Linked DNA regions of Callithrix jacchus. The protein of the gene in region 1 purifies or fractionates together with the protein of each later gene. This does not show direct contact. Links are inferred from orthologs where the notes say so. Each region holds a gene or a part of one and is shown in the gene's direction. Other genes may lie near its edges.

Evidence for each region. The genes of interacting proteins can lie anywhere in the genome.
Region 2: the proteins of AAR2 (region 1) and PRPF6 purify together in Homo sapiens (affinity purification with mass spectrometry; 3 studies listed by BioGRID and IntAct, with this or other methods). This does not show direct contact. The link is inferred for Callithrix jacchus from reciprocal best matches to the Homo sapiens genes AAR2 and PRPF6.

The regions. Positions count from the first base shown.
Region 1 is NC_133506.1:3,054,868-3,058,385, reverse strand, and holds part of AAR2 (protein AAR2 homolog), read left to right. Parts: intron 1-948; 5' UTR 949-1,002; coding exon 1,003-1,759; intron 1,760-3,518. UniProt on the Homo sapiens protein: Component of the U5 snRNP complex that is required for spliceosome assembly and for pre-mRNA splicing.
Region 2 is NC_133506.1:59,500,733-59,504,250, forward strand, and holds part of PRPF6 (pre-mRNA-processing factor 6), read left to right. Parts: intron 1-965; coding exon 966-1,104; intron 1,105-2,375; coding exon 2,376-2,495; intron 2,496-2,787; coding exon 2,788-2,964; intron 2,965-3,399; coding exon 3,400-3,518. UniProt on the Homo sapiens protein: Involved in pre-mRNA splicing as component of the U4/U6-U5 tri-snRNP complex, one of the building blocks of the spliceosome.

The DNA.
Region 1 (3,518 bases):
ACTCCCTGGAGTTTAGGTTTTTTATGAGTGAAAGAAGAGAAGATTTGTGGTTGAAAAGCTCTCTAGACCTCGAACAAATTTTAGATGCTGAGCCTCCACTTGTTACCTTCTGTCCGTTTCTGGGCCGTCCCTGAGGCTTACGGGAAACTGGGTATGTACTTGATTTAATCTTTCCAAATATTTTTGGGATAGTTTCCTGCAGAGTTGTAGCTTCAAATGATTAGGCATAGTTACAGTTTAGAGTGAGCCATCCAGGCATTTTCCACTCTCACCTTCTGTTGTGAGAAAGAGACCTGAGAAGATACTAAGAGTGGATGGTGGACAGAAGAACACTGGCCTGCAGGCTAGGTACCCAGATTCTAATTTGGGTCCTGGTATGACCATGAGCATGTCACTTTTCTTTCACTGGTATCATAGCTGTGAAGTGAGTGTCCTTGCATGTTAAACCAAAACACAGATTTTGTTGTTGTTATTGTTGTTTTTTTAAGATGGTGTCTCGTTCTGTCACCAGGCTGGAGTGCAGGGGCGCCATCTTGGCTCACTGCAACCTCTGCCTCCTGGGTTCAAGTGATTCTCCTGCCTCAGCCTCCCTAGTAGCTGGGACTACAGGCGCACACCACCACGCCCAGCTAGTTTTTATATTATTTTTTAGTAGAGATGGGGTTTTACCAAGTTGGCCAGGATGGTCTCAATCTCTTTACCTTGTTATCTGCCTGTCTCAGCCTCCCAAAGTGCTGGGATTATCGGCATGAGCCACCACACCCAGCCAAAAATCGTTTCTTTTAATTCTCATTTTCCTCATCTGTAAACTCAATGCACGGTTGTCATGAGGATTAAGGAAAATAATTATGTCAGGGGTCTAATTGAATATCTGGCACATACAGAATGCTTAGTAAATAAAGCATCTTTCCCCACGATCTAATTAACTCTGATTTCTTTCTTTCTTAGCTATTCTGGAAGACTAAAGAAAAATAGTTCTTTTGGTCACCCACCACTGGCCCCATGGCTGCCATGCAAATGGATCCTGAGCTAGCCAAGCGCCTCTTCTTTGAAGGGGCCACTGTGGTCATCCTGAACATGCCCAAAGGAACAGAGTTTGGGATTGACTATAATTCCTGGGAGGTGGGGCCCAAGTTCCGGGGTGTGAAGATGATCCCTCCAGGCATTCACTTCCTCCACTATAGCTCTGTGGACAAGGCTAATCCCAAGGAAGTAGGCCCTCGGATGGGTTTCTTCCTTAGCCTGCAGCAGCGGGGGCTGACAGTGCTGCGCTGGAGCACAGTCAGGGAAGAGGTAGACCTGTCCCCAGCCCCTGAGTCTGAGGTGGAAGCCATGAGGGCCAACCTTCAGGAGCTGGACCAGTTCCTGGGGCCTTATCCATATGCCACTCTGAAGAAGTGGATCTCACTCACCAACTTCATCAGCGAAGCTACAATGGAGAAGCTACAGCCTGAGAACCGGCAGATCTGCGCCTTCTCTGATGTGCTACCTGTGCTCTCGATGAAGCACACCAAGGACCGGGTGGGGCACAATCTACCTAGCTGGGGCACTGAGTGCAAAAGCTACCAAGAGGGCCTGGCGCGGCTACCTGAGATGAAGCCCAGAGCCGGGACAGAGATCCGTTTCTCCGAGCTGCCCACACAGATGTTCCCAGCAGGTGCCACGCCAGCAGAGATAACCAAGCACAGCATGGACCTGAGCTATGCCCTGGAGACTGTCCTCAACAAGCAGTTCCCCAGCAGCCCCCAGGATGTGCTTGGTGAGAAGGAACAAGGCTCTTTGGGAGTGGGCCAAGGGGAGGATATTAGCAGAGGTGTTTTAGAATAGGGAGTATCTCTTGTGTCAGTCCAGCAGTAACTAAGCCTGGCTAGGAGGCTGAAGATACAGGTGTATCTTTACCCTTAACCCTGGAGATTTTGATTCAAAAGATCTGGAGTAGGGCTTCAGCAGTTTCTGTATATCTGTCAAATAAACAGGCATCCTAGGCCTGAACCTGGTACGCCCAGTCCTACAGAAGGGAAAGATTTGGCCCACTGAGTGACTGAACTGAAACCAAAACCTGGGACTCTTGGTTTCTGGGCCAGACCTATGCTCATTGTAGCCTCTCATCTACCCCCGAAATTTGCTCCTGACCCTCAAGATGTTTGTCCCTCAACAGGCTTAGAACAGAACAGTGATTTTTTTTTTAAATCATTACAGTTTTTATTGTTGTCTTCCCTCCTTATTACAAAAATGATAGATATTAATCATAGAAGAAAAACAAATTAACTTCAAATTCCACTACTTAAAACTATTTGTACATTCTGGTATATTTACATTCCTTTTTTTCTGTGTATTTCTATGTATTTCATTTCAATCTCTTCTCTGTTTATTTCTATGTATTTCCTCTTAGTCTTTTAAAAATTTAGTATATGCATCTATGTATATATGTGAGTTTTTATAAAAACAGGATTGAAGTATATTACTTTGTAATCTGCCTTAATATAAACGTTTTTCCATGAAACAGTCACTTTTTTAGTGGCTATTTCATGTTCATATTTACGTCCTTGCTGACTAGCAGGAGGCTGTTGCCCATCCCCTTTGACAGCATTGGGCATGGCAGTTTAACAAAAGCCTCTTCCAGTTGGATAGTTGAAAAATGGCACCTTGCTTCTATTCACATTTCTTAAATACTAGTGACAGCAAATATGTGTCACATCTTAAACAGCTATTTATATATATATGTTTCAGATTTTCCAGGTAATTTGCATATTTTCCTGTCGGAAGTTCAGCGAGAAATTTGAATTTAGGACTTTTTTTTGAGACACGGTTTCACTCCGTTGCCCAGGCTGGAGTGCAGTCACACAATCATGTCCTCCTGTCGCCTCAACCTCCCAGGCCCAAGCGATCCTCCTGTCTCGGCCTCCCAAAGTGCTGGCATTACCATGCCCCGACAGGACTCTTTATATCATTGGTTCAGCTGATGATATAAGCTTTATTTTAACAGGTGCATCATAATGTGTTAGTATTTTCATGTCATAAGTAACATTTGAAAGTCTGCCTTAAAAATGAATAGAAATCCTGTCTTTCTACTCCTTAAACATTTCAGTTCTTCAAAATGTATCTTGTGAAAAGGTCTGTTACAGGAGTAACTTTGTTGGTTGGTTTTTTTTTTTTTTTTTTTGGGAGAAGGTCTCACTGACATGGGCTAGAGTGGAGTGGCATGATTACAGCTCACTGCAGCCTCAAACTCCTGGGCTCAAGTGATCCTCCCACCTCAGCCTCCCAAGTAGCTGGGACCACGGGTGTGTCCCACTGTGCTCAACTAATTATTTTTGGTAGAGACAGGGTCTCCCTGTGTTGCCCAAGCTTGTCTCAAACTCCTGAGCTCAAGCTTGTCTCAAACTCCATTGACCTCTTAAAGGGCTAGAATTATCCCTGTCACCTGACCTGTCCAGGGGTCATTTTGAATGTGCATTACAGCTCTTTGAAATTATTTTTGGTGTCATAATTTAATTTTAGACAAGGTCAGAAATGCA
Region 2 (3,518 bases), about 56 Mb from region 1:
TCTTTCCTTTTCTGGTATTATTTAATCTCACTGTCTTCAGGGCGTCTTTCCATGTGTCCTCCTGGAGCCCTGGCCCTCTCACATACCCACCAGCTGGTCTGGTGTTTCTCAGTGTTTGGAGATGTTTTGAAAGGCTCTCATGGTGCCCCTCTGTATAAGGGTACCTGGAGCAGTCTAAGTGAAGAACAGGGTGGTGCCGGGCGTGGGCTGAGGTCTCAGCCTGGATGAACTGCTGCCCTCTCCCCCTGGGCACAGTGGGTAGTGCCCTCCTGTTGCTCTGCCTTCTTCCTCAGCGCAGGCTCTTGGGGATGAGGGGAGGCAGCAGCTAGGGAGCTCATCCTCGGGGAGCACAGTTGCTTGGCCGGCCCTTCTCCAGACAGTGTGATTGTGTGTGCTTACTTTGTCTTGCTGTTGTGCTCACTGAGGCCCAAAGGGGTCATTGGTGCAAGATGATGTGACTGTGGGTGGTGGGCCACACGAGGGGCATCAGGCCTGATACCCAGGGCTGGTGGTTTTGCTCGATAATGACCTAAAATCACTTTCTTTCTATGAGATCATTCTTTCGGATGCCTGCAGAGTCCACCTGGGATCAAAATCTTTATCGGTGGGTCCGGGTGTGCTTGTGCTCTGTGGCTCAAGATGAAAAGCCTCCCCTGTCACAGATGGAACTTGCTGCTGCCTCCAGGACACATGGCTGTAAAAGGGTCTCTTGTGAAGTTCCTCTCTCCAGCTCTGCTATTTAAACAATGCATTGCTTTGTAGAACCCTTTTCAGTAGTTTATTTTAGAACCTTTATTGAGAGGAAAGATTTCCCCACACTCTCCCCATTGTAAAATCTGGTCAATCATTTATAGCATCGAACTTTGGAGCAGTAACTGTCTTTCTGGCGCCCACGCCATGGCTGAGTGTGATGTGTGTTCTGGTTTATGGCCCTGACTTTGGTGCCCGTGGCCTCTGTCTTGCAGGGAGTCCCTGGAAGCACTTCTGCAGAGGGCTGTGGCCCACTGCCCCAAAGCGGAGGTGCTGTGGCTCATGGGCGCCAAGTCCAAGTGGCTGGCGGGGGATGTGCCCGCAGCAAGGAGCATCCTGGCTCTGGCCTTCCAGGTGGGTGAGGGTTGCCTGAGCGGTGAGGGGCTTGTCCACACAGGAGCTGACCTGGGTGCCAGCTGGGGCCTGAAAGAATCCTCCATGCAAACGTGGCACGTGCTGTGGTTGGGATTCCCCGGAGTCCCCGCCAGGAGCCGGGCCGTGAAGGGGCCTGAGAGGAGCAGGAAGGCAGCCCAACTGGCAGGTACTTACCTCTTGGTCTCCCCACCCAGTGTGACCACGGGCTCAGTGTTTCAGAACATAGAGCCACGGGGTCACACAGGGCCTGAGGGCACCGTAACGTGAGTGGACGCATGCAGACAGCCTCACTGAGCCAGGCCTGAGGGTGCCTGCTTGCCATGAGGCGTGTGGGTTCTTTTTATGTACCTTGTTTCTATCGTCACGTATGATACCCTAATACCTTATGACGATACAGTGTTCGTCAGATGGTTTTAATACACAATAGAATGCTGCAAATGTCAGTTTGTTTACTGTGGCTCAGGCTAACATCATAGAGTGTGCCCTTCCCTGAGCAAACACCAAGTTGAACCTTTTGCTTTCGGCTGCCTCTCTGAGATGGCATCACTCTGTGAGTAACTGCAGCATCTGCTCTGTCTGCTTGCTGTCTGCTGCCTGTCAGGTGGCTTTCCTTGCCCGTCATTTTGGGGCTGCTTTTCAGGTCTGTGATGTGGTCATCTTGCATGGTCAGTGGGTGGCTATGCTGATTAGAGTTAGTCTGAGCACCAGCCCCGGGGAGGCTTTGAGGGCAGAGCCTGGGTGTCCACTGGACTCTGGGCTGTGTAAGCCTCCTCGGGCTGTGGGTGCCTTCTCCACGTCAGCGGCATACTCGGGGTTCTCTGTCCTGCCCACATGGACTCACAGGGACAGGACAGCTGGCTTCCTTTCACCAAGCTCAGGGGAAGGAGGGAGGTTGGGTGTGGTGGGTCTACCAGTATAAGATGTGAGTGACCCATTCGGGGGCTTTGAGAGGGTATGGGTGGATCCTGAATAAGATGGCCCTGCACCCACCCCTTTTATTGCTCGATTGAGTGCTTTGGAGGCCTCCCCACTGTACCAGAGTGAACATGGGCCTGTGTGTTCCAGGTGAGTCTGGATTCTTGGGCTGGAGTCTGCTCTGTCATCTCCTCCCTAGGAAAGGCTTGGACCAGACTCCTGCAGCAAAGCCAGGCCTGGCTGGGTCCCTCCTGCCTGCCTGCTTTTGATTAATGTGATTGAGCGCTGGTCCCTGTGTTCTGACCCCTCTTGACGTTGCTGTACTTGTCCTCCAGGCCAACCCCAACAGCGAGGAGATCTGGCTGGCGGCTGTGAAGCTGGAGTCTGAGAATGATGAGTACGAGCGGGCACGGAGGCTGCTGGCCAAGGCGCGGAGCAGTGCCCCCACTGCCCGGGTGCGCAGGGGCAGGCAGGGCTGGGCTGGGCATCGGGTGCGTTGTGCACTTGGGTGGTGGTGGGAGTCACATGACAGCAGGCAAACTAGGCCTCAGCACACGCTTATTTTTGTGATATGAATTTAAAACATGCATTTATCCCCAACATTTGTGTACACAAACGGGCTATGAAATCTTACAAAAGTACACACAGTACTGCAGGTAGCAGTGTTGAGGAGTGGAGGATGAGCGTAACGTGAAGCATGTGCCTTGGAGCCAATGTCCTACGTGACCATGCGTGTCTGCCCCACAGGTGTTCATGAAGTCTGTGAAGCTGGAGTGGGTGCAGGACAACATCAAGGCCGCACAGGACCTGTGTGAGGAGGCCCTGAGGCACTACGAGGACTTCCCCAAGCTGTGGATGATGAAGGGGCAGATCGAGGAGCAGAAGGAGCTGATGGAGAAGGCACGGGAAGCTTACAACCAGGGGGTACGTCTCTGCCTGCACCCGGGGCTGCCGCTGACCCAGCGCTCACAGAACTGAGCCCCCCGGTGCAGGGTCACGGCCTTTCACCTCCAAGGAGAAGTGGAGGGCTGGGGAGTTACAGCTGATGGAGCTTCGGACTCAGGACCCAAACCCTGGTCCCTTCACTGTCCTGTGCTTTTCCTTGTACAAAGCTGCGCACCTGCCCTCAGCAGTGCAGAGCGTGGCACGCCTGAAGTGTATATATACCTTTGTGCACAGGTACATAGCACCACTGCACACCTTTGAAGCCATAAATGCAGAGAGCATGGGGGTGTTTTTCCATGGACACAGGCTGCCCTGAGGCACTTGCTCAGCCACTACAGATGAGAAGCTGGGCGTGGCTATGTCCCAGTTCTTCATAGGCACCACCTGAGCTGCTCTCTTACTTGTTGGCTGCAGTTGAAGAAGTGTCCCCACTCCACAGCCCTGTGGCTGCTCCTCTCTCGGCTGGAGGAGAAGATTGGGCAGCTTACTCGAGCACGGGCCATTCTGGAAAAGTCTCGTCTGAAGAACCCAAA